Linked DNA regions of Canis lupus familiaris. The protein of the gene in region 5 purifies or fractionates together with the protein of the main gene of each other region. This does not show direct contact. Links are inferred from orthologs where the notes say so. Each region holds a gene or a part of one and is shown on either strand. Other genes may lie near its edges.

Region 1 (4,005 bases), about 7.6 Mb from region 5:
CCTCCTAGACCCACACCCTTATTTTTTATAGTACGGTTTCTCATCAATGGCACAAATGCCACTTGGGGCTGGATAATTCTTTGAGGGCTGAAGGGCAGAATATGTCCTATGCACTGTAGGATGCTTAGCATCATCCCTGATCTCTAATTCCTTTATTGCCAGTAGCCCAAACTGTGTCTAGACACTGCCAAATAGTCCATGGAAGAAAAAAATCACCAATTGAGAAACACTACCCTTTAGTAACAGCCATACATTCTTTCAGACACACAGTCCAGACCTTGTCCCTTATTACCCCAACACACGTTAAAAAATGACCTTTCTCACAAGAAATTTGGGCTTTGAAGACACCTATGCCTCAAACTCAACTTTCTGCTCCTGTGGCCAGAAAGAGATGCACTCACATGTTGGCAGAATCTTTAGGATTACCACCAGGTCAGCCACATTGTGTCCTGTAGTCATTGTTCCTTTTTTATAGGATCCCACCTGTCGCACTTCTTCAATTTGCTGTTGGAAAAGGGATTGGGAGATGCAGAAGTGAAAAAGACTATCTAGAGGGGCCTGGGTGGCTCAGTCAGTTAAATGTCTGAGTCTGACTTTGGCTCCAGTAGTGGTCTTGGGGTCCTGGGATCAGTCAGGCTCCCGGCTCAGCAGGGATTCTGCTTGTCCCTCTTCCTTTGCCCCCCCCCCCGCCCAATCCACACGTGCTTACTCTCAAATAAGTAATAAAACCTTAAAATTAATAAAGGACTGCCTAGTTCTTCTCAGAACTCAATTACAACACAATTATTACCCAGGTTTATTTTATTTTTTTTAAATGTTTATTTATTTATGATAGTCACAGAGAGAGAAAGAGACACAGGCAGAGGGAGAAGCAGGCTCCATGCACCGGAAGCCCGATGTGGGATTCGATCCCGGGTCTCCAGGATCGCGCCCTGGGCCAAAGGCAGGCGCCAAACCCCTGCGCCACCCAGGGATCCCATTACCCAGGTTTAGAAGTAGCAGAAGTCAAATCATAAAATAACCACATGGAGATGCCTGGGTGGCTCAGTGGTTTAGCCTCTGCCTGTGGCTCAGGGCAAGATCCCAGGGTCCTAGGATCCAGTCTCACATCAGGCTCCCTGCAGGGACCCTGCTTCTCCCTCTGCCTGTGTCTCTGCCTCTCTCTCTCTCTCTCTGATTGATAGATAGATAAATAAAATCTTTAAAATAATCTATCAACCGATCAATCAATCTACCCCATGAAGAGCCTAATACACGGCTAGCTGATAACACTGATACAAGTCTTGTCCCCAAGATCACCACCACAAAGGGATCCCACTGTACTTTCCTTCCCATCTTAGGCTTGGCTTTGGCGAATAAGTAACTGAAGACTTAAGAGACAGGAGGAGCGAAGGAAACACTACCCACACCACTAAGGCTGCCCTTTCCAATGATTAAATCACTAAAACTCACCACTTCGAATGTCCCTGGAGCCACAATCAAATTGTCAATCACATTGTTGATTTTTGTCACCAGAGAAAGGATAGATGCCTGAAAAACAGCAGGAAACAAAGATACCCTAAAGTGAAAAATTATAAGCAACTTCTCAGAGTTGGGGTATTTTTCCATAACTTTTTGACCTAAAGACGCATCCCTGAATAAAAACATAAATGCACATGGAATCTGTTGATATAATCTTGTGACACTCTCCCTGTACCCACAGTGAGAAATGAGATCAGCTGAGCCTCTGCGGAGTATAGGCTCTGGTAACAGCAACCTGGGTGGGAGGTTTTTAGAGAAATCTCAGGGAGAAAGCCCAAGAAGTAGACCTGTTCAGCAGAATTAGGAGCAAGGTCCTGATTCCTCTTCAGCAAGGCCTCACTGAACGAAGTTTCGTCAGGCGCTGGCTTGACCCGGGGGAAAGCCATCTCACACTAAGGCACAAAGAAACGACATGCTATTTACAAAAAATACTTGTTTTTACTCGTTAAGGTACTCAAACCAGAGTACTTGCTGGAAGGACCAGCCATCGTTTAAGTTCTCATTGCGCTACAGAAACAGATACACCAAAGAGGGCATTCATCATCCAGAGCAGAGACCACAGTCCTGTTAGCGCCCACAGGAGCCCCGTGAGCACACGGGCTTTGCAGGCGACCCGAAACCCTGCTGCTTCCTGCCGGCCCGAGCTCCCCGTGAACCCCGCGCACCCGCGGCGAGGCACGGGGTTCCAGGGCACTCGAGGTCAACGAGGGTCAAAAGGAGCTAGTTACTCACCAGATAGAAATCAAATGGAATATGTGGCACAAACGGCCGGAACCTGAAAGAGGAAAAGGGATCCCCGTTACTCCTCAGCCAACTCTCACCGCGAGCGGTGCCTCTGGCTGGCGGGCACTGGGGACCGGCACTCACCCGCCTCCTGGGCCTCCTCGGGACCCGAAGCGCCCGCCGCGCCCTCGTCCTCGGTCACCCCTAGGAAGGCAGACATTCCCGGAGGTCTTCGCTGCGTCCAAGGCACCGCCACCGCGCCGAGCTCCCCGCTCCCAGGGCCCGGGCTCCAACCGCGCGTCCGGGGGACGTACACCCCGGGATTCCCGGAGCCGTCGCCCCAGGTCAAGGCCAGTCCGCCCGCCGCCCGGCCCCCGGCCCCCGGCCTGCCCAATCCTCGGCCCCTGGGCTCCGCCCGCCGCCTTCCCGCCCCGGCCCTTACCTCATGGCGCCCTAAGCCCCGAACAATGGAAGCCACCCTAACCGCCCCTCGCCTCGGAGGAGCAGACACCAGAGACGCGGCTGGCCGGAGCGTCCCAACAAACTCTGGCCCGATTGGCCCCCGCTCTACGCCGCCGCTAACGCCCATTGGCTTATTTTCGCAGACCGGCCTGCAAGCCAATAAGAAGCGCCTGCTGTGTCAGAAATTAGCCAATAAGAACAGATTTCACAGTAACAACCTTTTTTTTTTTTTTTAAGGCAGGCACTAGGTGGCGCGGTGCAAAAATGACTGGACAGAGCTTCGTCTAGGATGCTGAGAGGCTAACGACACCAGTAGCAGAGTGGCGCAGCGGAAGCGTGCTGGGCCCATAACCCAGAGGTCGATGGATCGAAACCATCCTCTGCTATAAGGTGTTACATCTTTTCCTTGGGTGCTGCACGTACTTTTAGTGCTTATAATCACCTTTTCCTCCCTCAAAAATGCAGCCTTTAGAACCGTTTTTGCCAAAATGCAGTGAAGGGGATGGGAAGGGACTTCAGGCAACGCTACACGCCTGGGCGGGGCTCACCGAAGGCGGGAACCTGAGGCAAGAGAAGCTGATCAGACTCCTATCAGACGGAAAGCCCTGATGACAACGGGTTAGACTAGAGGAGAAACCGAGGCAGCCTTTGAAAGACCCTTCAGGGGCACCTGGGTGGCTCAAGGTGTGATGTCGGGGGTCCTTATATGTATTCCCGCATCAAGCTCCTTGCCTGGAGCCTGCTTCTCCCTCTGCCTGTGTCTCTGCCTCTCTCTGTGTGTCTCTCATGAATAAATAAAATCTTAAAAAAAAAAAAAAAAAAGTTCAGAAAAAGCGCTGAGGGGAGGCTGCAGAGGAGGAGGAACCCGAGTCGCCTGGGGAAGGTCTCGCTCCCCCAGGTTCCCCTCCCTCCGCGACCCCCAGGGCACCTGCCCCCCACCCCCGCCAGGTGGCTCCGAGCGCGCATAGGCAGGCGCTCTTTCTCCCGCCCCCGAGTCGCGGGCAGCCGGTCCCTCCCGGGTCCTTTCTCTCCGGCTTCTCCCCTTCTGCACCGGATACGTTTACTTCACTGCCCGCACGTTTTCTACTTTCAGCAGAGATTTGCGGTCTGTGTGCTTCCCCGCTGGTGGACAGTGTAGGGAGGACTCCGCTGCAGCCCCAGGGTCACACGCGGTGGCTGCTGGGTCACCCACTCAGAGACGGCCAAGCAACATGCAGCACCGCAAGCTTTTCCTCTACTTTAACTGAGTGATGGGCTCCGCCGCGCAACCATCACCCAGGTGAGGACAAAGGACTTGTG
Region 2 (4,208 bases), on a different chromosome or scaffold from region 5:
ATATTGTGTTAGCATTTACTCTCCATTTTTAGTGCACATCTGGGATGCTATGGGAATTCTAAAAAGGAGACATTTTTCCTGCTAGGCTGACCAAGGAGTGCTGTAAGAAGATGGGATTTGAATATAGTACTCTAGAAATAACACATAGGTATTAACTATTCAGTGAAAAACAATTTTTTGAACTACTAAAGGTTCTCAGTATCTTTGAAAGATACAAAAAGATAAATCTGAAAACCTAAGATTGATCTAATTAAAAAAAAAAAACTTCAAAGAATATGGATTTAAAACTACCAAAATTTTTAACAGAGAAAGAACAGGTCTAAAGCAGTATTTTTAAGACTATGTTTAGGTAAATAGTATGTGGCACAGAATGAAGGGAAAGATAAATTAGAAGACCATCTAAAATAGTTCAGGAGGGAAAAGATCTGAACAAAGCTGGTGACAAATACAAAAAATAGGGAACATCCAAAGAAGCCAGAAAGTGACTAGTTCTAGACACACGAACTTTCTGTTAACACAGGAATGGCCAGTCAAGGTCCTGAACTGGTGGCTAGAAATGCAGGGAAATCTGAAGGGAGTTCAGAGCTAAAGGAGACTTCAGAATCTGTTTCAGTACATTACGGAGACCAGGAAAGAAGACAACCCAACAGAATTACTGACTGGGAGAAAAAAAAAAAAAAAAAGATCATTAACAGAGTTGACAATTAAAACCATTAGGCTAGGAACATTATTTAAGTTTCTTCCTTTCTTTCTTTAAGTAGGCTCCGTGCCCAGTGTGGAGCCCAATGTGGGGCTCAATCTCACAATGCTGAGATCAAGACCTGAGGTGAAATATGAAATAAAGAGTCAGATGCCTAAGCGACTGAGCCACCCAGGGACTCCTTGCTTAAATTTCTAAGAAAAGCACCATATTGATTTTGTGGGTTTGCCAGAATTCACAATCTAAAATATATATTTACCTGGTTGTTGCGGTTTTCCTGCAGTGGAGAGGTAGCGTCATCAGGAAATGAGCTTACATTTCTCCTTTTCAGCATCTGGTCATCCTTCTTCGCTTTCCTCAGCTCCACATTAACTTCTATTCGGCGCCGCCTCATTTCCTTGGAAGAAGATAAACCACTTCACCCACTATATCAATTTTTGTGGCTAAGTGAGAATATTTATTTCAAATTTCCTCAAAGTTCTGATCACTTCCCAAATATCTTTCCATTTAAAAAATAGCACAGGAAAGCAACAGAAGATACTCACCGTACTGTCTTTCCCCTTGTTCTTGAATCTGTTAAGGCGGGCAGCTGGTGAATTAGCATTCTCGTTGGTGGACATGGTTATGAGACAAAGGAAGAAAGCTGTAAGATGGAGGAAGAGAAAGAAATTTCCCATTTATCATTTTGCTTTGTCAATAAGAAGAGCATTAATAGAATTACCAAGCATATACTGGACCCACACTTGTATAGTAGAGGACTAACTTCCTTTTTCAGCACTATGAAATACTGAACTGGCCCAACAGTATTAGTCCCCTCCTCTCCGAAAGGCTGAGACTTCCTGGAACAGTGCTGTCCATCAGAAAGAGAAAGCAAGCTGCATAAATTGAAAATTCCTGGTAACTACATTTTTTCAAAAACGCAAAAAGAAACGGGAGAAATGAATTTCAAATCTATTCCCTCCGGCCCAACACGTCCGCTATACTCTCCTTTCCACATGTTCTCCTATTTCGAGCTAGATAGATTTTACACTTTTCATACTAATACTCGGAGATCATGTGCGTACTTGGGGCTTACAGCACAGCTCAATCCGGGCTAGCCACATCGGTTTGAGGACTCACACACCACACTGGACGGTGCAGCTGGGACCAACTGAACACAGAGTGGGGCAAACTGAGCTCACAGTTAAAACCGACGTCCTAACGGGCCACAAATCCATATTCCGGAGGCTCTCCCAATGGCCCAAACAGGTCCATTCTCCACACTTGAAAGTTAAAGGAGTATGTGGCACATCATCGCGTTACGGAGGCTTCCATAACCCTGCGTGTCAACACCGAGACCTCGAGACCCAATTCTGCATCCTCAGCACCCGGCAAACATTTTCATTCCCAAGAAACGCTCTCAGTTAGGCGGCTACTAACCCCGCTTCCTTCAAACAGAGCTCTTTCAGAGCGATCGCCAAGGGAGGACAAAAGTACAAGTCCTCCTGGCAATGTGCGGTCTTCCATTCCGTGATGTTCCCTGCCGACGCTGTGTCACAGCCGGGCCTGGGCCTACGTGTTAAGAGACGGTTCTTCCAACTGCCACCGCCCCCCCGCCCCGTCTCCAAGCCCTTCCCCTGCCCCCCACCCGGGAAGATGCAGCGGGGAACGGGCGGAGGCGGGGCCAGAGGGGACAGCGCCGCCCGGGCCTCGGCGATCTTCTGGGCCGCGACGCGCCGCAGCTCCCGCCGCGGTCCGCAGAGCCTCAGCGGCCCCCAAACCCAAGCAATCGCACCGCGACACGGCCGCCTCCTCAACGAACGACGCCCCCAGGCCTCGTCAACGACGGAGGCCACAGCCAGGTCGGGCGTGGAATCCGGGCCTCCCCTCCCGCCACCACAAGCGGGGCGCGGCCTGCCAGCCTGCCGCTGCCGCTCGGGCCGGGCCCTGGCCTCAGTCGTACCTCCACGGCCGGCTCAGGCTTCCACGGGAGGCGGTGCGGGGCGCGCAGGCCGCGGGTCAGCTGCCCTCAAAACGTCCACCGCGGATCAGCCCAGAGACGGTGTGGCTCGTGCTGCCGGCCGGCGCGATTTAAATTTCCCGGTGTCCCCGCATTCCGATTGGCTGGTTCGAGCCTACGCTGCGCTCCCATTGGCGGATTTGAAAAACACGTTGATTTGGGGGGGTCATGGGGCTAAGAAGGAGAGAAGAGAGCATCGCGAGATATGGGAGAGGCCAGGCAATCCCAGAGCGCTTTGCAGGTGGATGAAGAAAGACTCCAGATCCCGGCGTGCAGCGGGCCAGTGCGCTGGACTTTGGCCTCAATCTAGGGGCTCTGCGGGGGGTTCATGCTAGTGAGGTTGCTCCCAGGTCGTTTGCCTGGGCAGCTGCTTTAACCCAAACACCACAACTGATTTCCAAAATAATGCTCTTTAAAATTCTTGAAAGAGAGGAGGTGGGTAAAAAAAGAAAAAAAATTTGATATAGAAACATATTGCTATGAGGTTTTTCCTTGATGGGACACAGTAGGAACTTGGCAGGGGTTTCTGGCCACTATGGAGGGAAAGGATAAGGCAGGTTTGGGCTGCATTTTTTAGTTTTTATTTTTTTAACGTGAGTTAGAAAAGACTGCATAGAAGCCACAAACATGGAAACAGAAGGTTTCTTAAGCCTATTTCTCCAGTCTTTTACTTTTAAATAATTTCAAATACAATAAATAAATAAATAAATAAATAAATAAATAAATAAATAAATAAATAAATAAATTCAAATACAGAAGAATTGCAAATCCATTCCCAGATTGGCCAAATATTAACATTTTGCCACATTTGCTATTTCTCTATGTACACATGCACACACACACATATGTGAGTAAAAGTAATATGTAAAAGCCACGTATACATTTCTGAGCCAATTGTAAGCATTTCAGAAATTATGTCCCTTAACCACTAAATACTTCATTTTGTATCTTCTAGTAACATTCTTTTATATGACTACACCACAGTTATCAAATTCAGGACAAATGAACTTTTTTTGGTTTTGTTTTAGGATTTTTTTTTTAAGTAATCTCTACACCCATCATGAGGCTCAAACTCATGACCCAAGATCAAGAGTGGCATGCTCTACCAACTGAGCCAGTGAGGGATCCCAACACAACTGAATTTTGATGCTATCATGTATTATGTAGTGTGTTCAAGTTCTGACAATTGTTCCAATATGTTCTATGCTGTATTTTACACTTCTCTGAATAAAATATTTGCATTTTCTTGCATCACAAATGGTTACAGAGCATCAGAATTAAAGACCTTTTTGTTTGTGCAATTTTTCTGCATTCTAAAAAGGGCATTTTTAGAAATGTTGTATTGGCTTATTTATTTTACTATAAAGAAATTCAAACATTGAACTTTATCCATTCTTGCAGGCATTTTTGCCAGCCTCATTCATTGTGTAGCAGCCATGCGCTTCATTAGCAGTTGATTCTACGCCTCCCAATTCAATCAGTATGATCCCATCCCCCTAAGTGCAAAAT
Region 3 (4,024 bases), on a different chromosome or scaffold from region 5:
GGCTACTCAACATGCTCCATCCCATACAAACCACCCTTTCTCCTGCCTCCCACACATCCTGGGTTTCTGCCAATGCCACCAGCCTAGGGACTCCCTGAAGGACAGGACCATCTGCCCCAATCAGGACAGCAGACACTGCAAAAAAAAAAATAACAGTAGGGTCAAACTGCCCTGGAGAGGGAGCCCAACTCCTAACCCACACCTGTGAGAGCCAGCTCTCCAGCAGCAGGAGGCCAAAATACAGAGTTGGATACCTCACCTTACTTCCACTGATGGTATGGAACTTTTTCTCCAGAACCTTCTTCACAGGTTCTTCTTCTTTAAAGGTGATGAAGACAAAACCTCGTCTTTTGTTCGACTTTGGATCCATTGGAAGCTCAATGGCCTCAATCTGTAAATATATGCAAAGCTCAGAACCAATAATGCCTCTTCCTACCTAGCCCCCAGGACCCGTAGGGATCTCCAAGGAGAAAAGACCCTAGGAAGGCCTTGCTGACGAGGGCAATGGCCAGCCAAGGGAGAAAGCAAGCTCAAGGCAACTGGCAAGTCACTCCCAAAGTCACACACTCACCTCCCCAAACTCGCCAAAGTATTCTCTGATCTTCTCCTCAGTGGCTTCAGGATTCAGACCCCCTACAAAAATTTTCTTTACCGGATCCTTTTTCATGGCCATGGCCTTTTTGGGGTCAATGACACGGCCATCCAGCCTGTGTTCCTTCTGGTCTAGAACCTGTCCCAACAGAAGAAAACCAAGTTTTAACTCAGCAGCACCACCCTCACCAAGGCCCTTCCTTGAGCCACACAGGCCCCAACACTGGTACACAAACTTGTTCATCCCCTCCAAACTACCCTCAATCTGACTTAGCAACCGAACTTCATCTAACTTCAAGTACAGCTCTTTTATCTGAATACCTACAGCCCACCCCGGCCCCCACCAGCTTTCCCAGGAGCAGCAGTTTAAAGCTGGTCTCTCAAAAGTAAAGAAACGGTGATGAAGAGTCCAGGCTGAGGGTGGGCTGCTCGGTTGGAAACCACCCCTTTCTGGTGTATAAACTCTTCTACTTACACTTCTGAGTATTTTCTGTAAAATGAGACTAAAATAATGCCTACTCCACAGCAACTCTAGACTCCTTATTCTAGTGCTCATAAAACAATGGCTTTATCAGTGCCAGTGTAGGCATCAAACACCAATTAAACTCTTCCTGCACGACCTGAGTCCATACCTACTACCCACCCCTTAATCTGTATTTTTAATCCCTTCAAAAACAGTTAAGTTCCTCACCTGTTTTTCCCCAAAGCTCAACCACCTACAGAACACACCAACTAATCATGCTCAGAATGGTATCAGTATTCTCTTAGAATGAACTTAAGACCACTGACATCAAATATCCTGCTTACCTTCTCCACACTGGCTGCATCTTTGAAGAGGATAAACCCAAACCCTCTTGACCGGCCAGTGTTTGGATCCATTTTTATGGTACAGTCAACGACCTCTCCAAATTTGGTAAAATAATCCTTTAGGTCCTTTTTGCTGGTATCCCAGCTCAGGCCTCCAACGAACATTTTTCTGAAATGGTAAAGACACGTGCCAGCCCTTCCTGGGTACAGGTTCTAAGCAAAGTCGCCATCTAGCACACAGATCTACCCTGAGTCCCCCAGGGTCCTACATTTGGAAGGCGTCAACAAATCCCACCCTCCCAAACAACCTTGACCCTAGAGCAGCTTCAGACTCGGTGGCCCCCGACGGGGCAAGGGGGCCAAGGGCACTCTGGCCCGGGCACCTATCGGCCCTTAACGCACGGAGGGAGCCATGTGCCGAACAAGCACGTCTCTCCAGCGGCCGTCGTCCCTGCCCCTCCAGGCCACCCCCGAGAACTCGCTCTTAAGGAACTCGAGGCTTCCGGGGGCCGGAGACCGCGTTCAGACCGTGACTCCGCCCCCGGGGAGGGGGGGAACGGGGAGGCCGCGAGGCCGCGGCCGGGGCGCGCGCCAACTCCGCCCACGCAGCCCCGCCGAACCCCAGGCCGGCCCGGCCCCGGGTCCGAGCGCACTGCCCTTTCCGGGCCGCCCGCCCGCCCCCGGCCCAGCGCGAGCGGCCCCGGGGCGGCGCCAAAGCCGACCCAACAAACTCCTGCAAACTCCGGCGCGAACGGCGAGCCCGCGAGCGGAGGGGCCGGGCGGCGGGCAGCCAGCAGGCCCCGGCCGCCCGCCCCTCCCCCCGCCGCGTGGCGCCAACAAAAGGCGGCCCCGGAACAAAGGCGGCGCCCCGGTCGGCCCGCGGCCGCACCTACCCCGCGTCCTCCTCGTTCTTGCTGGCATTGATCTGGTCGCCCTCGGCGCCGTTCTGGTTGCCGGCCGGGGGCGCCGCGCTCCCGCCTCCGGCGCCCGTCGCGGCCCCGGTGCCGGACCCCGCCGGCGACTCGCCTTCGGGGGCGGCCTCGTGTCCGTTCTCGGTGGCGCCCGTCGTCTCCATGGGCTGCTCCTCACCCGCTTCCGACATGCTAGGCCGAGGCGCGGCAGCTCCTGCAACGAGCGGCCCCGGCGCGTCAGGCCCGCGCGGCTCCCGCCCCGGCTCCCGCCCGCCGCCCGCGGGCCCGGCCGCTCACCTCGCCGCCGATGACGCCGCGGGGCCCGCTCGTCCCCACCCGCCGGGAAGGCGCCGCGGGCTCGGCCGCGCTCACGCCTGCGCTGCCGGGCCTAGCCTCCGCCGCCAACGGAGCCGCCGCGACCTCGCGCCCTCCGCCGCCGCCGCCGCCGCCGCCGCGCCGCACAGACGCACCGACCGACAAGCTCACTCGGGCCCGCGCGGTGCCGCCGCCTGACAATGCCGACTCGTGGCGCTCTTTATAATGCCGGGGCCGGGCCCACCTCGCAACAAGGCGCGTGCTCATTGGTTTCGCTCGCCCGTCACTCAAACGCGCGCTAGCGCCCCATTGGCCGCAGCGGCGCGCGTACGCGAAATCCGGGCGGGCTTTGTCCTCACTTTAGAACCCGCGCGAGCGGCGCCCGCGGAGGTCGGCCGGGCCGGGCGCGACCCCAGCCCTGCCGCGAGCCGCCGGGCCCGGGACCCCCGCGGCCGAGGGCGCCGGCGGCCGACCCCTCCGCGGCCTGAGGCCGCAGGCTCTCGTCGCGGGGCGCCCCAGCCCGGCACCGCTAGCTTCGCCCACCGCTTTCCCAAAAGAGGAAGCGGGGCTCTAAGAAGTCTGGCAAGCCCCGATCGTCCGGCTGCAAGCGGGGGAACGCGGGCGGCCGAGACGGGGCGCGCGGCGCCCCCCAAGGCCAGCGGCAGGGCTCCCCCTCGACCTTGGTGCCCTCGCGGCCCAGCGCTCCCGCTCTTTCTGCCGCCGCCCTCGGGCCAGAAGCGGAGAGGGGGTGGAGCCCGCTGGCGTCGGGGCCGCTGGGGCCGCTGGGGCCGCTGGTTCTCGGCGGATGTGGCGGGAGACGCTGTGGGGCCGGGGTGTTCCCCGATCCTGGGGCGTCCGGCATCACCTAGGCGATTAGCGTCGTTTTCACGCTGGAGGTTCACATTTCCCATTCGACTTCATTCACTTATTTCTGCTGAAATTTCTCTTTAAAAAGAAAAATAAACCATTTCCCTGAAATCATGAAGATGGTAGGTGGGGAGGAGTGGTTCTTTTTTCCTAATACACCAAACCCCTTAATCTGAGCTGCTTGACCACCACGCTTGAAAGGCCTGCGTTAATCCCTTGATTCCTTATAATCATATGGGTGCCGGGGCCCCAAATGGACCAGGATTACCAGAGAGCAACAGAACCTAAGTAGCTGGCATTTCCCGCTGAGTTCCTGCAGCCAGGCCTAGTGTGGGGGTCTGGGGGTTCTGTTTCTCACCTGGTCTTCTAACAACCCAATGGAAGGTGATACCATCACAAATTTATCAGTGAGAAAACTGAAGCCCGGAGTGTGGACCCAAGGCTCGCTCCCTAATAATCCAGCTAGCCAGTAGTTGCCAGGGAGAATGAAAAATGTAACAGTTCCACATTCAGAAAAAATAATCAACTCCAGA
Region 4 (4,103 bases), on a different chromosome or scaffold from region 5:
CATCACAAGCCTCAAGGCACTCTGACAGAGGTCATCAGCAGTGAGCCAGGTCAGCAGACTCTACTGCGAGTCTGGGCTCTGGCCCACCCACCACACTCCTGAGCCCCCTCCACATACCTTCAGCTTGGGCACCTCCTGGACACGCACATCATCCGTTATGGTTCCTACAACCACAGCTGTTTTGTTTTCCCGGCCAGGCAGTTTCATCTTCCGGATCTTTGGGAGAAGGATAATTCCACATTAAGGGAAGTTCCTTCTGGCATTTCACTCCAACCTCATTGCTTCAGGCATCCCAAGGCCTGAGACAGCTGGGCCCCAAAGGGGTTGAACCCACCCATGCCACAAGCTTTTCAATCAGCATAGGCTGAACCTCCAGTCCAGGCGGGAAAAACACCAGAGACAAAATGCAGACCTTTCAACAGATCTCTCCTTCAGGAGAGCTTATGACACCTGAGACCAGTGTCATGTGACAGCAGGCCACCTGAAGCCACTACAACCACCCCAACTTCACGACGACAAGATGAGCCCAAGTTGCTCAAATACCCACTGCTGTTTTTTTTTTTTAATTTTTTAATTTTTTATTCATTTATGATAGTCACAGAGAGAGAGTGAGAGAGAGAGAGAGGCAGAGAGAGAAGCAGGCTCCATGCACCGGGAGCCTGATGTGGGATTCGATCCCGGATCTCCAGGATCGCGCCCTGGGCCAAAGGCAGGCGCCAAACCGCTGCGCCACCCAGAGATCCCCCCACTGCTGTTTAACTATAAGCCCCAGGGTCAAGGGTTGGAGCTCTGCACACACCAAGGGATGAAGGAAACCAGCTGATGGCCAGGCTCTGAGCCCCCGCAACCTTGCCCCAAGCTAGGCTCTAAGACACAATCCAGTCACCCACGGAATCAGCTCCTCACCATCCGGGAAAGGGACAGAGGTGGCCGGTTGGTGCGACTCATGAACAACCTCTTCAACACAACCTGGTTAAAGGTAGAGTTGGTTCGTCTGGCCAGAAACCTGTACAGCTGTAGGTCAGAGAAAAGTCAGAATAGGAACCCAGGGTAGGTAGCCCCCACCATTCTTCCAACCTTCAACTTAACAAAAAACCGGTTTGGGCTGCCAAGGTTTTTATGGCTTCCCATCCCCTAGCCCCCCCAATTCCCCTCCCCACTCCCCAGCTGTATAAGCCCTGAGGCTGAGGACACTGAAACTCCAGGAGCCCTGGGCAGAACCACAGACAGGAGCCTGCCCTGCAGGCCCCTGGAGAAGCCTGATACTAGAAAGGAGGTTCTAGAAGCTGCAGTTCTAGGTGGCACCTAAGGGGCTCCGGCCTCAACCTCACCTTAACCAACAGTCTCAGGTAGATGTCCTGGCTCTTGGGCTCCTTGCGCCGAACCTTTCGGTCCTTGTTGTGGCGGATGTCGACTCCCTGCAGAGATAAGAATAGACCGTGGGCCCAACTCTCTCTGGCAGCTCACCCCCAGAACTCTTCCTCTCTGAGGAAGAGAGAGGGCCTCATTTGTTGAAGAGACAACAAATCCCAAGTCCACCCTTAGAAGACCTGGGATTCCAACAACCCCAACATAAGAAAAGTATTAAATCCACACACAAAACCTTCAGCACATGGCATCTTAAAAAGCTTTAAAGGACTTACATCCACTAACAAATTTTAATTCTTCAGAAGCTGTATTTTTTTAAAAAAATGTTATTTGACAAAGAAAGAGCACAAGAGAGAAGCAGACTCCCCACTGAGGAGGGAGCCCTGATGGGGCTCAACCTGGGGCTCCATCCAAGGACCCCAGCATCACGACCTGAGCCAAAGGCAGATGATTAACCAACTGAGCCACCCAGGCATCCCCCAAAAGTGGTATTTTTCAAGAACATGACCCAAGGGCAGACTCTACCTAATAATACAGCAAAGAACCTTTGTTAGGAACTTACTCCACACAGAACCAGTACTAGAATCTTCCATGCACTAGCTTCTTGAATCCAACAGCCCGAGGAGACAAGTTTGCCCACTTCAGCTAAGAAAACTGAAGGAAGCCACAACTTCCACCACTTCCGGCTGCTGTCCTGAGATTCCTTAACAGGCCCTGTCAGGCGCTGTAGAGCTACTAGACTATTCGTAGCTCCTTTCCTCCAGCACTTCAGTATCCAAGAATCTCCAATGTGTAGCTCCTACAGGTTCTTCCCAAACTCGCGTCTGTGACGCATGATTACTGTGTTCCCAATGCACAGACCAAGAAACTGGGGTTACAGGCGGGGAAAGCCAAGACTGAAGGCTGGACAGGGAGCTGAGACTTCAGAGGTCCGCCTGGCCGCAAAAGCCGGGCATCGGACGGTGGAGACCTCCCTCACCCCCAGAACCCAAGGTTCCAGGTCAGGGGAGTGACAGGTCCAGGTAGGGGCGGCAAAGATTAAGAGACCAAGCGCGGACGTGAGGTTAGCACCCGGGTCCGAATCCCGGGTCTGCCACTTCTTTGCAATGTGGCGAAGAACGCAATGTGCAACGCGGCCCCGGTCACAACGTTTAACTTCCTTGCACTTCAATTGGGTTATCTGCTCAACTGGAACTAGAATAATAAAAGGGGACGAGAGTGGCCAGAGGCTGATAGAACTAACCCACCCTTGGTCTTCGAATCCACCAAAACAGTCCCCTCACTGCGGGAGTCGCCCCCTTCGAACCCCCCCGACATCCCTGCTCCCCTCCAGCACTCCCCCAGCCCAAAACCGCGGCGGATGGCGGCGGATAATCGAGCCCGGAGCGCCTCAAAGCACGCTCACCATGATGGCGCCTCCTGCTCAGCCAGGTCCGGAAAGAGAGAACAGTGCCGAAGGGGGCGGGGAAAGCCTTCAGCGAGGGGCGCTTGTGTGACGTCACGCGGGCGCGACGCGGCGCTCTACTCGAGTCGGGCCTCTCTATGGCGAATCGCAGAGCGTCGAATGGGCGATTCCGGAATAAGTGGACGAACCACCACCCACGGAGAACAAGCGCTGCGTCAAGGGTGGAGGGGCGGCGACCACGTCGGGGGCCTCTCTGGCCCTTCCTAGTTCTCGATAGTCTTCCGGAAGAAAGGGAATTGGCAGCGAGAGAGATGTGCGGCGCTAGGAGGTCGCGTCGCACGGTGACGCTCTGGCCCGACGCCGACGGCCTCTCTGTGGCTCCTTGGAGGACCCGGCGGGCCGAGTATTGGAGGTGAGGAGGCGGAGCTGGCGGGGCCTGTCAGGACCTCGGGAAACCACTAACCCCACGCTTCAGGCGTTTCCTTATCGGGCTCACCTCTCTTATCTCGCGCGGTGCTTCCCAGGCGCCGCCGTAGCTCGGGAAGTCCTACTTGAGATCTAACCCGAGATCTTCTTGCTGCAGCCCAGTCTATAGCATCCTGTATTTCCAATTTTTATATTCCTCTCCTCCCCTTGCCCATTTTCTGAGCCCCGCCTCAGCCTCTACCCCTTGGGGGCCGCTTTTCCCTGCAGGAGATTCGAGTGGCCCCGCGGGCTCCATGTGAGGGCTTTACACGGTACTGGAATGCGGAGGAGGCACACCGAAGCCCCAGCCTTGGGGTATGGGGGTGGAGAGGGAATGGGTAAAAGCCTCCTGAAAGAGAAGGGAAGACTTGGGGGATAAAGATTCAGAGGGAAGGAGGACTGGAGGCCCAGAGCGGGAGTGGACAGAGACGCGAGGGATGCCCCCCCAACCCCCGCCGGCGATGGAGACCCAGGGCATGACAGGGAGACCTAGAAAGAGAGGGAACCTGGAGATTCGGGTGATACGCTCTGACATAGAAAGATGGTGAGATGGGGGTCTTGTCAGCTGTATCCAGATCCCAAATCCGGCCATGCTAATTACTAACAAGAGCGTGACCTTGGGCAAGTCATTTAATCTCTGTGTGCCTTACTTTCCTTATCTGCCAAAAGGGGATAACAGGCTTGACACTTGTTTTCCAGCATTACATAAGTTAGTAAGGGTGCTTTGAACAATGCTTTGCACATAAAGTGCTCAAAACAAGGTAGCCTCCGCTCCTGTTGTTTTAGCCCTTCTTGGGTAGGACCAGATGGACTGGCCAGGGCAGTGACGAAGCTGACCTGTCCCCTCTTTTCTCCTTCCTCAGAG
Region 5 (4,051 bases):
GAGGTTTGCAATACTTCCTCATACTCAATTGCAACCCAACTGGGTAAAGTAGCAGTATTTACAGCGCTGCCATTGATACCATTCGCTGCTGAAGAAAGCTAGTAGCCCAGTGATAGCCCACTGCTGCTGCCCCAGGTCTTTGGAAGAAATCAACTTATGTTAAAGCAGCAGCTACTGAACTGGAATTGAGAACAAAAGAGCAGTTATTGAAAAAGTAATATTACAATCTTTTAGAATAGGGAATATACTTGTGTGCTAATGGGAAAAAATCATTAATACGTATTTAACTAGCCCAAATAGCTCACTTAATAAAATGCTACCAAAAAAATTAAATTACTTTATCGTAGGAGCCTAAAAGGACAAGTTACAGGTTGTCTTACAAGTTTCCATTAGCTAACTAAACCAAAAATTGCCATTAATTTTACATTCCTATAAATGAGAACTTTCTAATCATATAAAAAATAACACCAAATTGCTGGAGCCTATAAAATTATCAATACGACACAATTGATGCTGTATTAGACATTTAGCTACCAGAATCTGAATAAAACCTTTCGTCTCCCTCCTTTAAAAAAGGTAAACGGTTTACGCTAAGTATTCTGCATTTAAATTCAGCACACTGCGTTTAAGTTCTCTAACATTTTGGCACCAAAATCGCCACATTTAGTAACCGGGGGAGAAAAGGGAAGAAACAGCTTCACTTACAAGTATCAAGACAAACCACTGTGTCATCGAAGTGCTCATCTTCTTCTTCAACAGGTGGCTGAGGAGATTTGGCTCTGAAAGACAGAATTGTCTCCTGATTCAGCTTTTCCTACCCCAGAAAGAACGGGGACGGGTAAAACTAGATCGGCATCCTCTACCTGCTATACTTGTTCTCTTCAATGTACTCAAAATATCCACGGCCATGATCTTCTCGAGGTCTTTTCACCCCTCTCTTTTTATCTCCGCCCTTCTGCTCTGTTTTGCCGTCTCCTATAACACACAACACCCCTAACATAAGGGGCCAAGCCGCGACGCAACCGGGGAAAAAGAAAAAAAAATCCCCCCTCCTGTTTGGGGAACGCAAATACTCCTAACTCCCCCGTTCTTTTCTGCAAGCGATTTCAACCGACGAATCCAACGCGAATTCAAAGAACAATCAGCTTGGAACCGGCCAGGAGCTAGTGACGCAGTCTAAAGACATTCCTAATTTTGCCAGCCTCTTCGAAGATTCGAGAAAGCTCCCGGAGCCCAGGGCGGCCCCGGCCCCGAGCCCACGTGGATCCCGGAGAGAGTTCAGGAAGGGGGGAGGGGCCGCGCCGGCCCGCGCGCCCGCCCCTCCCCTCCTCCCCTCCCCCACCCGGGCCCGCGTTCCCCGCGGCCGCATTGTACTGATCTTCCGCCCCGCTCTCCCCGCCCGGCCCCTCCCGCCGGAAGTGACGTCACGCCGAGCCCCTGCGCTCCTTGCACAATACCGCGGCCCAGCGCCGCCAAAGCGCGCCCGCCCCGGGCCCTCGGGCCTCTCTTCTCCCCTCCCCCCCCCGAGACATGTGCCCGCACCGCGCGCACGCAGCGCAGCGGCGCCACCGCGGGCCGACCGGGCTCCCGCCCGCCGCCCGCGGCTCCTCCCCCTCCAGCGGCAGCTGCAGCTACCACCCCCACCCCCCGGCCCTCCAGCCACATAATGGAGGCGCCGCCGCCGTCGCACACGCCGAGCCCGAGGCCGCCGAGGCCTCGCGGCCGGGCGGGATTCCCCGCGCCCCCTCCCCCCCGCCTCCCCCGCGGCGGCCCCCGCCCCCTCCCCCCCGCGGGGCTCCGGCAGGCCTGGGGCACGGTCCCCACCCCGCGCGGGCCTCCCGCCGCGCGCAACGTACAACGCAGCACTCACCCGCCGCCGGAGCCCCGGGGCGACCGCCGCCTCCGCCGCCTTCCGCCTTCTTCTTACCTCCCGCCTGCTGCTGGCCCTGCCTCGCCCCGGGCGGCGCCACCGTCACCGCGAACAGCGAGGTGGGGCCGCTGCTCTTCCCCGCGGCCTCCTTGGCGGCCCCGCGCTGCTGTGGCGGCTGCTGTTGCGGCGTCGCCGGCGGTTGAGGCTGCTGCTCCCCGTGCCCGTTCTCGTCGCCCGCGCCTTCCTCCTCGTCGCCGAGCTCATCCTCCCCTTCCTGGAAGCCCTGATCGTCGCCGTTCTCGTCCTCCGAGGCGGCCTCCTCCTCCTCCATCGGGCCCGCGTCGGCCGCCCCCGCGGCCCCGTTCTCCTCTCCTAGCTCCATCTGGTCGCCATCCAGGGCGGCGATCCCTTCCTCCTCCTCTTCCTCCTCCTCCTCCTCCTCGTCGCCGCCGGCCGCGGCCTCCTGCTCGAGGCCTGCTCCCGAGCGCCCGGCGGAATCCCCGCCCAGGTCTAGGCTGCCGTTCCCGGGCTCCATGGCGGGGCGGCCCCCGGCCTCCTCGTCGTCCAGCGCGGCCTGGAGGCGCTCCATGAGCTCGGCCTTGAGGCCCTTGTCGGAAAGGCGCCGCTTCTTGAGCTCCTCTTTCAGCTCCGAGACCTTCAGCTTTTTTACATTAACAGGCGAGGAACTCATGGTGAGGGCCCCGATTCACCGCTAGGCGCTGGCTCAAACTCGGCTCCGCTCCCTCGGCCACTGGTGGCGGCTGCTGCGGCTGCTCCTCGGCCCGGGCGGCGGCTGCGGCTGCGGCTAGAGGTGGGTTCGTGCTGCAGAGCGGACCCGCCTGGTGTCGAACGGCGCCAATTCCTTTCACCGAGTTCGCGAGGGAGACGCGGAGACTCGCCTGGCGCGAGCGAGCACGCAACGTCCTCTCGCAGGGGCGGCGCCGCGCACGTAATATAGGCGCCCCGCCCCCTGCGCTGACGGGAGCTCCGCTGCGGGGGGGAGCGCGCCCGCGCCGCGGGGCCCCGCCCCCGCGCCCCGCCCCCGCCCCCGCCCGCCCGCCCGCCCTGCCCTCCCCGCCCCCACGCCCAACCCGCCGAGAGCGCGGCGCCGGCCGCGCAGTGCGCTTCCCGCGGGGCCGAGCTGGGGGAGGAGGGGGGCCGCCTTTCGGTTACAGCGATCCGCCGCAGCCGGGCGGCCTCCCGAGCTGGGTGCTGGCGGCCCTCGCCTCGCTCTCGGCCCCCGGGCGCGGGGCTGCTGCACCCAGAGCCCGGCGGCCCCGGCCCCGGCCCCGGCCCCGGCCCGGCGGCTTCCGCCCGAGCCCTCGGCCTTGCTTCCATCTTGGATGGGCCTGCCTCTTTCTCTCGCTCGCCAGCCCGCTGCTTAAAACGCCTCGAAATCTTATTTCCGTGTTGATGTGTACGGCACGGACGGGCAGGCCCTGCCCGCGGGGGGTGCCTTCCGTCTCGCATTTGGTGGAATGTTCCCAGGCCCTGCCCTGCGCCCTGGATTTTAGGCTCGGGAAGGGCGAGGACAGAGCATCCCTTTTGTCTCTTCCCCAGCCCGGATGGCAGGGCTGGTCCGGCCGCCCCGGGGCGGGAGAGCGGGGCGAGCCTCGGAGGGGCACGTCCGCCCGCCCAGACGGCCCCCCGCGAGCTCACGCCCCCGGATCGTGCCCTCCGCCGCCTCTCCCCCCCCCCCCCCCCGCAGGAACACCCCCCATAAGTCGTGCTGAAGCCAGTAAGAGCTCAGGACGAGTCAAAGGGCCGGGATTTTCTAAGAAAGAAAAAAGAGACAATCGGCTCCCGAAATCTGTTGTGTATTTGGGTGTGTTTTAGAAGTTTGATTTTTCCCTTTTCCCAAATAAAAGGCATGTTAGGTTCTTGAGGTTGCGCACAGGGGGCCAGCACTTAGATACGTGATAGAGGGGCGCATGCGACACCCCCAAGAAAGCCTGCACAGTGACTAGACAACGTCCCACTATCAGAGAGCTCAGTCCTACCCACTGTGTGGTGCTGGAGCTGGAGTAGTGCTGCCCCGAATGTTAACTTGAAACTGGAGCAATACTAGCAGAGGCCAGTATGATTTAACCGTTGAATGCATTTTATTTTTTCAAGTTTCTTCTCCATAGCTTCCAAGAACCATGTGTTTTACCACTCAGTCGTCATAAAGATGAAATACAT
Region 6 (4,190 bases), on a different chromosome or scaffold from region 5:
TCAACCCAGTAACAATGAATATTTATTTGTAGCATCCAGATTGTTTTCTCTAAAATATCGCTTTCCCACTTAAAGGAGGGCTTCTTGGAGAAATGACTGATTCCAAGTCATTCCAAATGACTTGGAATCAGTATATCTAGAAAAGTACTAGATGAATCTACAACATCTTGTCACACCAGAAATTTGAGTCACCCTGGGTAGTGGATTCTGCTTCTGCTGCTCAAAGTAGGGTGTTTGGTTCAGGACAATTCAAAGAGCTGTACACTTACGGTGTATGCATCTTTCTCTATGTGTCCCATACTACAACTAAAAATTTGTTATCTACTTTTTGTCGTGGAAGATGTCAAACGTGTTAGTATAATAAACATCCAATTCCCCATTATCCAGCTTCAACGGTGATCAGAAATGGCTATTCCCATTTCATCTATACTCCACCCACTTCCCTCTCTCCAATATTTGTAAGCAAATTTCATTTATCCTATCAGTTTGTCAAAGATTATGGTTAGGGGCTCAGTCCGTCAAACCTCTGCCTTCACCGCAGGTCATGGTCCCAGGTTCCTGGGATCTAGCCCAAGATCCAGCCCAGTGTGGGGCTCCCTGCTCAGGGAGAAACCTGCTTTTCTCTCTCCCCCAGTACCCACCCCCTATCTTGCTAGTTCTCTCTCTCAAATAAATAAATAGAATCTTTAAAAAAAAAAAAAAAAAGATTATGTCTTGGGACGCCTAGGTGGTTCAGCGGGTTGAGCATCTGCCTTTGGCTCAGGGCGTGATCCTGGAGACCCGGGATCGAGTCCCAAGTCCGGCTCCCTGCGTGGAGCCTGCTTCTCCCTCTGCCTGTGTCTCTGCCTCTCACTCCATGTCTCTCATGAATAAATAAATAAAATCTTAAAAAAAGATTATGTCTAATCCATAATCTACGTTAAACACATCGTCTAAACACGCACATACATAAAAGCATACATAATACACAAAAGAAGTGCTGTAAAGGCAACTTACCGAGGATCACACCAGACCTCCCCAGGACAGTGTTTTGGGGGTGGGGTGTGGAGGTAGGGGGCAGAGTTCAAAGAAAAGTTTCGAGTGTGAGTATTTTTGGAGCGTTCCCAAACTCTCCCTTCGACAGTCTCCCGATTTCCCATTGTTTTAAAACCCTGTCACCCTTTTATTTAACGTTGCCATTCCCAGGATACTCTTCTTGTGTTGGGGATGACTACACGGGGAATGAGACTGAGTGGGGAATAAAATAAAGCGGTTTAAAAGGCACCTCACCTCCGTTATTTTGGAAGAATAGGGAACGCCCTATTCCGTCACAGGGTACCAGCGATGCATCTGCCTTAACTGAAGCCTTAGTCTCATGATAACCGCGCGGTCGGCTTAGGACAGAATCGCACTCTCTTGTCCAAAGAACTACGAATCCCAGAAGGCCGTTCGGCCGAGGCGCCTGCGCATCGCGTGCTCCTTCCTTTCCCCTCCTCGTCCAGGGGAAAGACCCGCCCCGCGGTGCTGTCGCTCGCGCTGGAAGAAGCGGAAGAAGATGGCGCTCACCAGGTGGGTTGTTGATGGGGGTCCTCGATACGGAAGGGTCTGGGAGTACCCACGTTTTTTATTTCTCTGCCCACTGTCTCCGGGCGGTGACCTGGCGCGGGGCACAGAGCGACATGGGCTGGGACCGCGGCTAGGCCCTCCTGCAGGCCTCCGGGGCGACTAGGCCTCACGGAAGCTGGGGTCTTTCCTCAGCGGTTTCCCGGGTCGAGTTCGTCCCCTCACGAGGGCCGAGAGCCTTGGCGCGACAAATAGTTCTCCGGCCTCGGATGCCAAGGAGTCGCATCCCGGGGTTGTGGAGAGCGCTCCGAGCGTCCGGTCCGCGCCTCGGGCGGGCGCGGTGGGGATGTGGAGGGCAGTGGCTTATTTGTCTGGACGAAGTGAAGCGGCGGGAGCCGACGAGCCGGCTTTACCGCCGTGTGTCTGCCGAAGTCTCGTCTGTGCCCCGAAACCAGGATTCCTGAAGAAAAAAAAAAAAAAAAAAAAGATGTGAGGTGAGGGGCCCGGCACCGAACACAGATCTTTTTTTTTTTTTTTAATTGGCCACTGTCTACTAGTAATGAGCCGCTGCTCCGCACTTTTAACTTTGGACCTTAGAATTTCTTACGTAGATAGAACCACTTCAGATTTTTGCTGTTCTCGGTTGCCTTGGTAACCGCGTGTAAAGTGGTCCCCGCCTTTGGGGGGGGGGGGGGAGAGAGATTCCGAGGAGTTACATAACTCCTGCTAGTCCGCGACCTGCTGCCCCATCTGAGAAGAAAAACTTCCCGTATGCGGACGCAAGCAGGAAAAGTTGAGTTGTCAAAGATGCCTGTGAGGGAAATCGTTTTTGGGACATCGGCTTGAGCTCCCTAAACATGCTTGATTCTCCTCACGCTTCTTTTTCCTGGCTGATGGCAGTTATGGATCCCACAAAACGTTTTAATCAGAAAGTTTTTGGGGGGGAATTAATTTTGGGTGCCTTGCTCTCTCTATATCCTAGGGCCTGTGTGTATACACACACACATACACACAAAAAGCCACCTAACAGTCTTTGCAGGGAAGGTAGGGTCCAAGGCATACAGATACGGAAGAAAGAACAGCACAGAATGCTCACTTGTGTGGTAGTAACCTTAAGTGCAAAAAGAATTAGACTGAATAAGTTGGATGAACTAAGGAGTTCAATTTAGTAAGCAGCAAACATTTGAGTGCGCCTCCAGGTGGGAGGCACTGTGGCAAAGATTCCCAGGGTTGTGAGGGAAGGTATTTGTGGAAAAGGACACAGGGAAAATAACAGATCTTGTGGGTTATTGTGGGCTTAAAATTGCAGCGGCAGAATGCAGTCCTTAAATGGCTAGTCTTGGAGGCTACATAGTTTTCTGATTTCAGTGAGCTCTGGTTGATTTGATTGCAGGTGAAGTGTTACCTTATCTCCAAGACCTACCAAGGATTACTTAACGGCAGGGACTTAACATATTGATGTGTTGCAGTATTGGTGTCACCAGTTATTGTGACTAACTAAAGATTTGAGGTCATACTGATTTAGTCCTCTAAATGCAACTGTATTTGGGGTTATGTATCTAATAATATTACTTGCATTTAATATGCTTTATTTGGTAAAGGGGAAAGGGTAGACCAAGGTGTCTCAACAGTGGGCAGTCCCCGTGGCTCAGCGGTTTAGCACCGCTCAGCCCAGGGCGTGATCCTGGAGACTTGGGATCAAGTCCCATGTCCCGCTCCCTGCATGGAGCCTGCTTCTCCCTCTGCCTGTCTCTCTCTCTCTCTCTCTGTCTGTCTTGAATAAATAAAATCTTAAAAAAAATAAAAATAAAAGATGTCTCAACAGTGGCACTGTTGAGGTTTTGGACTGGATGATTCATTCTGGTGTGGGGCTGTCCTGTGTATAGTAGTAGGATGTTTAGCAGCATCTTTGGCCTCTATACATTAGATGCCAGAGGCACCTCCCTCCCCTTCACCCATTCCCTATCCCCTAAGTCTTGACAATCATGTCTCCAGACATTATCAAATACCTACATTGTAGTTATTTTGCCACCCAGTTGAGAACCACTGAGGTAGACTTTCTGCTTACATATACAGCCCACAGCCCACTATGTACCCCTTTCCCCTATCCTGCCACCACAGGAGTGTGCCTCTTGTGGGAATGTCATCTTTTACAAGGAAAAGCAAAATTAAGACCCTCTGGAAGGCTAGAGTATGTTCAGACCCTAATCCAGGCCAAGTTACTTGTTTACTGTATCGTCTGGACCCTTTGATTTGGCAGGCTGCCTGCCTTTGGATCATCTTAGTAATCAGTTCTTACAGCAGAAGGTAAAGAATAGAGAAAATAATAAGTATTTTGGCTTCTTTACACTATCTTTGTATCCTTCCTATGAATTGGGTATATGAGTTATACTGAATAGAATTATGGTAAAAGCCCAAAACTTTTGACTCCAGTCCTCCATCCATTCATTCATCATTCAACAAATACTTGTTGAAGATCTACCATGTGCCAGACACTGTGCTGGTTTTACAGTATTAAATCAGTGCTGGTTTTACAGTATTAAATCAGTCTGGCAAACTCCTTTATTTTCGAAGAGCTTACAGTCTAGGAAAGGCAAACTACTTATCTATCTGTATGTAAACAAATCAATAATGCAATATCAGGTAGT
Region 7 (4,167 bases), about 6.2 Mb from region 5:
GCCGAGAGTGCCGGGTCAAGCACCCCCACCCCAAGCCCACCTCCTGGGCCACTCTGCGCGGCCGTGGGATGGGGGGGATGCTCCCGCCGCGCCTCCGCGACGCGCCAGCCGACCTGTCAGGGGCCGGGGCGACTCCGCCTCCGCTCCCGACTTTCCCGCCCCCTCCCCGGGTCGGGAGCCCGCCCACCAGGGGCACCCCTTCCCCCTCGCCGGGAGGGACTTCCCGGTCCGCGCAGGATCCCCTCGCCTCCTCCCCTCCCCCACCCCGCCGCCGCTCCCCGGAGAGGTCCAGGTCCGGGAGCTGACAGTGGCTCCCGGGCCGCTGAGGCTCGCCCGGCTCCCGGAGCACTTAGGCCCGAAGCCTTGGCGGGCGGTTATGCTCACCGTGTCAGAGGCCGCGGCCGAACGAGAGGAGAGTGCAGGGAAGTGGGGAAGGGGGGCGGCCGCCAGCAGGCTCCTCCGCGTCCCCGGGTCGGCGGCCGATCCCTGCCGCCTGTCAGAAGGCGGCCCGCGGGTGCACGGACCGGCGGAAAGGCGAGCGAGGAGAAGAGAACGGCATGCGGCCGAGCAAGGGCCACCGAGGGGAGGCGGTCCCGCAACCAAGACGGGGATCGTCTCCCCCTCCGCAAAGCGAACCCAAAATGGCGGCGGGAGCGGCGGCGGCAGAGCGGCGGCGGCGGCGGCTGCTGCTCGGGAGGGAGGGCGGGCGCGAGCGAAGGGCGCCTCGTGCCCCCCCACCTCCCACCAGGCCCTCCCCGCGCCCCCCCCGCGGCCCCCCCCGCCCCCGACTCGGGCGGCGGCGCGCGCCCGCCCGCCCGCACACGCCGGACAGTCTCCCGGCTCGCCGCTCGCTCTGCCCCGGCCCCCGCCTTCGGCCGCCTGGCCCGCCCGCCCGCACGGCCCCCAGTTCCCCCGCGGCCCCTGTCAGGACAGCCGGGCGCGGGCCCTCACGCATACCTTCGGCGGCGCGAGCCCCGGCCTCCTCCTCCTCCACCGCCTCTTCTTTCCTCCCCCCCTTCCCCGCCCCCACGGCCACCAACCGCCGCCACAGCCGCCGCCGCCGCCGCCGCCCCCCCACATGCCCTCCGCCCCTCGCGCGTGCGCCTCCCACAATCCCCCCCGCCGGACCGTTCCATTCCCGCCGCCGCGGGAGCGCGAGGGGGGAGACCCGGGCCGCGGTGGAGCTGTGCTGACGGCTGGGGCTGCCGAGGGGCGGCCAGAGGTCCACACGACTCACCTCCGCGGCCGCCACTCCGCGCCGCCCAGGCTCGCTTTCTCGCTGCGCAGCCTGGCCGCGTGGGGATCGTCGAGGGCGGCCCTGCTCCCCTCCGCGGGCGGGCGGTTGGAGGCCGCGGCGGCTGCGCGGTAAGCAGCTTCCTGCCCTACAGCCCGCGCTCGGCGGTCTTCTGCGGGGAGCTCGGGGAGCGGCCGGCACGCCGTGAGGAGTACGGTGCGGAGAGCAACCCTGCGACCCCGGCGCGCACCTCGCGGGGAAGGCTTCAGGGACGGCGGGACCGAGCCCCCGCGAGGTAGGCAGAGGCGCCCGGGGCCGGCGGCCGTCCTCGGAGCTGGGACCGAGGGGGCGCCGCTTACAGCTGCGTGCCGCCCAACCTACCCAGGCTTCCCCGCCCGAGGGGGTCGCGCGCGTTCCCCTGGGGTGGATGTTGCACCCTCACCGCCTCGGGCAGCTTGGAAGCAGGAGTCTTTGTAGCTGGGCTCCTATCTCCCCGGTCTTGCGTGCCCTTCAGAAAGTGGGTTTTTCTTGGTTGTGTATCAAAAAGGAACGAAAAAATAGGCATCAAAATTGGTCGACCCGAAAGCGGCCTTCGGAGTTGATGTTGACACGAGTTGGAGTTGTTCAGTCGGACACGAGGCACTGAAGGCAGAGCCGAGTGCGCGTTCCCAGCTTGGGCGATGCGGGTCGGCTGTGTGGCTCCGGTTGTGGCGCGTGTCCTGCCCCCCAGCTGGTCCACAAAACCGTGCTGACCCGAGGCCTGTCAGGTTTCTGCGGCTCCTGGCCCAGCTGTCTCAGAATTCTGCACGAACACCCCAGTGTTCTTAATGAGTAAGTTCAGGAGACTTATGGACTGTCAAAACCCAAAGTCTGCCTAATTCAGTCTGTTTCGTTTCATCCGGAGGGTTTCCCTTTCCTTTGCTTCTGCGAACTTCTAAGAGTCGAGGGGACACTTTGAAAATCAGTCTACTAGATTGACCTCAAAGCCTTATTCAAGCTCTGAAGTTTAAGCAGACATTTCCCCCCATTCTACATTTCCATGTTTGATCAGGTTTTGTTTGCTTGCTTTGTTTTCTTAAGGTAAAGAGCTTTAATGACCTCACTCTGTCTTTGCTTTTCCTACCCGTGTCTTTTTTTTTTTTTTTTTTAAAGATTTATTTATTTATTCAGGATAGACATAGAGAGAGAGAGAGGCAGAGACACAGGCAGAGGGAGAAGCAGGCTCCATGCCGGGAGCCTGACGTGGGACCCGATCCCGGGACTCCAGGATCGCGCCCTGGGCCAAAGGCAGGCGCTAAATCACTGAGCCACCCAGGGATCCCCCCTACCCGTGTCTTAAGTCTCAGTTCGTTCATGGAGCCCACTTAGGTTTGCTTTGGGTCTTTCTTTAATGGTGTCAGATACGCAAATGTGATACCCTACCAACATTTTTAATTTGACGGCAGGGACTAGATCTAGCACTTCTTTTGTATGGTTGTATAGCCCTAATGCAAAGTGAATGGTGGAAATGTTGAAAGAATGTTAGATACTTAAAATCTAAGAAGGGAGAGAGAATTAACGTTTGTGGAATGCTATGTCTGGAGAACACACATTCCTGCTTGATTCTTAGAATGACACTTTGAGATAGATCATCCTAATCCCCGTTTTATACATGAGAAGCCTGAGGCTCAGAGAAGTCCAGTAACATCTTTACATTTTGCTTTACCTGTCCTAAAAACCTTTTTCACTGTATCGCATTGTCTTCATAGTAAAAATTTGTCATCACCAACATAATTATATATGTTACAAAGAAAAGCCACTTAATGGGATTCCATTGCACCAGTATATAAAGAGAAGAAAGTTACTTGCTTGTGGTCCCTGCCTTCATCTGGCTTTCCTGAATTGTCGCCTAAGTATACACAAGATAGTACCCTGTTCTTTTGTATAAGCTTCAGTGCCTATTAAGTCTCAGTAAAGTGACCTTTTCTAATGAATGAAACCTGAATTACTTGAACCAGGAAAGGTATGGAAGGCAGAATAATGGTCCCCCAAAGATGCCCGTGGCCCAGTCCCTGGAGCCTGGGCATATGTTATATTACATGGCAAGAGGGAATTAAGGATGCAGTTGGAATTAAATTTGCTAATCAGCTAACCTTAAAATAGGGAGATTATCCTGGATTATGTGGTAGGCCCACTGTAAGTACAAGAGCTGTGAAAAGATGGAAGAGGGAGAAGAGTCAACATCTGAATGCTGCTATGTGACAAAGCCTTGACCAGCTGTTGCAGGCTTTGAAGATGAAAGAGCAGCCTCTAAAAGCTGCAAAAGTCAGAAAACCAGGTTCTCTACTAGAGCATCCAGAAAGAACACAACCAAACATATACACCTTGATTTTGTTCAACTACAGAACTCTGAGATGACAAATTTGTGTAGTTTTATGCCACTAAGTTTGTAGTAATTTGTCACAGCAGCTGAAAACTAATGCAGAAAGAGGAGCCAAATCATGATTGACCTCCAGAATACCTGCTTTGGATTGTGGTTTTGTGTTTTAATTCAAGAGTTTGTTTTATTTTAGGATTTTATTTATTTATGAGACAGCGCATGAGCAGGGGGGATGGGAGGGAATGAGCAAAGGGAGTGGGACAAGCAGACTCGCGCTGAATGTGGAATTGGATGCGAGGCTTGATGCCAGGACCCTGAAATCATGACCTGAGCAGAAATCTAGAGTCTGATGCTTAGCAGACTAAGCAACCCTGGCACCCCAGTGCTGTAATTCAAATGAGGATGTGGTTCATCTGAAAGTTTGCCCCAAGCAAAGTGATCCACACTCAACCAAGCTGCCTGGATTTCCTGTATTTTCCTGCTGCTATGCTTCTGGCATGAGTCCTCAAGCTGTAAATAGACAGCTGGGTTCTCTGGTCCTGCTGTATTGCAGCAGTCTTTGCTAAGCTGCCTT

The links.
Region 1: the proteins of HNRNPU (region 5) and ILF2 fractionate together in Homo sapiens (co-fractionation; 3 studies listed by BioGRID and IntAct, with this or other methods). This does not show direct contact. The link is inferred for Canis lupus familiaris from reciprocal best matches to the Homo sapiens genes HNRNPU and ILF2.
Region 2: the proteins of HNRNPU (region 5) and KPNA2 purify together in Homo sapiens (affinity purification with mass spectrometry; 3 studies listed by BioGRID and IntAct, with this or other methods). This does not show direct contact. The link is inferred for Canis lupus familiaris from reciprocal best matches to the Homo sapiens genes HNRNPU and KPNA2.
Region 3: the proteins of HNRNPU (region 5) and HNRNPAB purify together in Homo sapiens (affinity purification with mass spectrometry; 4 studies listed by BioGRID and IntAct, with this or other methods). This does not show direct contact. The link is inferred for Canis lupus familiaris from reciprocal best matches to the Homo sapiens genes HNRNPU and HNRNPAB.
Region 4: the proteins of HNRNPU (region 5) and RPL18 fractionate together in Homo sapiens (co-fractionation; 3 studies listed by BioGRID and IntAct, with this or other methods). This does not show direct contact. The link is inferred for Canis lupus familiaris from reciprocal best matches to the Homo sapiens genes HNRNPU and RPL18.
Region 6: the proteins of HNRNPU (region 5) and SNW1 purify together in Homo sapiens (affinity purification with mass spectrometry; 3 studies listed by BioGRID and IntAct, with this or other methods). This does not show direct contact. The link is inferred for Canis lupus familiaris from reciprocal best matches to the Homo sapiens genes HNRNPU and SNW1.
Region 7: the proteins of HNRNPU (region 5) and DAP3 purify together in Homo sapiens (affinity purification with mass spectrometry; 3 studies listed by BioGRID and IntAct, with this or other methods). This does not show direct contact. The link is inferred for Canis lupus familiaris from reciprocal best matches to the Homo sapiens genes HNRNPU and DAP3.

Annotation. Positions count from the first base shown.
Region 1 is NC_049228.1:43,390,676-43,394,680, reverse strand, and holds the start of ILF2 (interleukin enhancer-binding factor 2), read right to left. Parts: upstream 2,801-4,005; 5' UTR 2,692-2,800; coding exon 2,687-2,691; intron 2,449-2,686; coding exon 2,389-2,448; intron 2,297-2,388; coding exon 2,254-2,296; intron 1,914-2,253; coding exon 1,809-1,913; intron 1,531-1,808; coding exon 1,453-1,530; intron 505-1,452; coding exon 402-504; intron 1-401. UniProt on the Homo sapiens protein: Chromatin-interacting protein that forms a stable heterodimer with interleukin enhancer-binding factor 3/ILF3 and plays a role in several biological processes including transcription, innate immunity or cell growth.
Region 2 is NC_049230.1:14,368,000-14,372,207, reverse strand, and holds the start of KPNA2 (importin subunit alpha-1), read right to left. Parts: upstream 2,801-4,208; 5' UTR 2,643-2,800; intron 2,256-2,642; exon of another isoform or gene 2,120-2,255; intron 1,344-2,119; 5' UTR 1,321-1,343; coding exon 1,246-1,320; intron 1,098-1,245; coding exon 960-1,097; intron 1-959.
Region 3 is NC_049232.1:3,625,291-3,629,314, forward strand, and holds the start of HNRNPAB (heterogeneous nuclear ribonucleoprotein A/B), read right to left. Parts: upstream 2,801-4,024; 5' UTR 2,607-2,800; intron 2,524-2,606; 5' UTR 2,501-2,523; coding exon 2,292-2,500; intron 1,568-2,291; coding exon 1,399-1,567; intron 731-1,398; coding exon 572-730; intron 392-571; coding exon 260-391; intron 259-259; exon of another isoform or gene 1-258. UniProt on the Homo sapiens protein: Binds single-stranded RNA. Has a high affinity for G-rich and U-rich regions of hnRNA. Also binds to APOB mRNA transcripts around the RNA editing site.
Region 4 is NC_049222.1:108,362,322-108,366,424, reverse strand, and holds the start of RPL18 (ribosomal protein L18), read right to left. Parts: upstream 2,801-4,103; 5' UTR 2,777-2,800; coding exon 2,774-2,776; intron 1,419-2,773; coding exon 1,332-1,418; intron 1,015-1,331; coding exon 907-1,014; intron 217-906; coding exon 118-216; intron 1-117.
Region 5 is NC_049228.1:35,785,603-35,789,653, forward strand, and holds the start of HNRNPU (heterogeneous nuclear ribonucleoprotein U), read right to left. Parts: upstream 2,801-4,051; 5' UTR 2,562-2,800; coding exon 1,871-2,561; intron 976-1,870; coding exon 864-975; intron 780-863; coding exon 706-779; intron 1-705. UniProt on the Homo sapiens protein: DNA- and RNA-binding protein involved in several cellular processes such as nuclear chromatin organization, telomere-length regulation, transcription, mRNA alternative splicing and stability, Xist-mediated transcriptional silencing and mitotic cell progression.
Region 6 is NC_049229.1:50,827,854-50,832,043, reverse strand, and holds the start of SNW1 (SNW domain-containing protein 1), read left to right. Parts: upstream 1-1,390; 5' UTR 1,391-1,534; coding exon 1,535-1,548; exon of another isoform or gene 1,549-2,020; intron 2,021-4,190. UniProt on the Homo sapiens protein: Involved in pre-mRNA splicing as component of the spliceosome. As a component of the minor spliceosome, involved in the splicing of U12-type introns in pre-mRNAs.
Region 7 is NC_049228.1:42,030,533-42,034,699, reverse strand, and holds the start of DAP3 (28S ribosomal protein S29, mitochondrial), read left to right. Parts: upstream 1-1,367; 5' UTR 1,368-1,529; intron 1,530-1,781; exon of another isoform or gene 1,782-2,065; intron 2,066-4,167. UniProt on the Homo sapiens protein: As a component of the mitochondrial small ribosomal subunit, it plays a role in the translation of mitochondrial mRNAs. Involved in mediating interferon-gamma-induced cell death. Displays GTPase activity in vitro.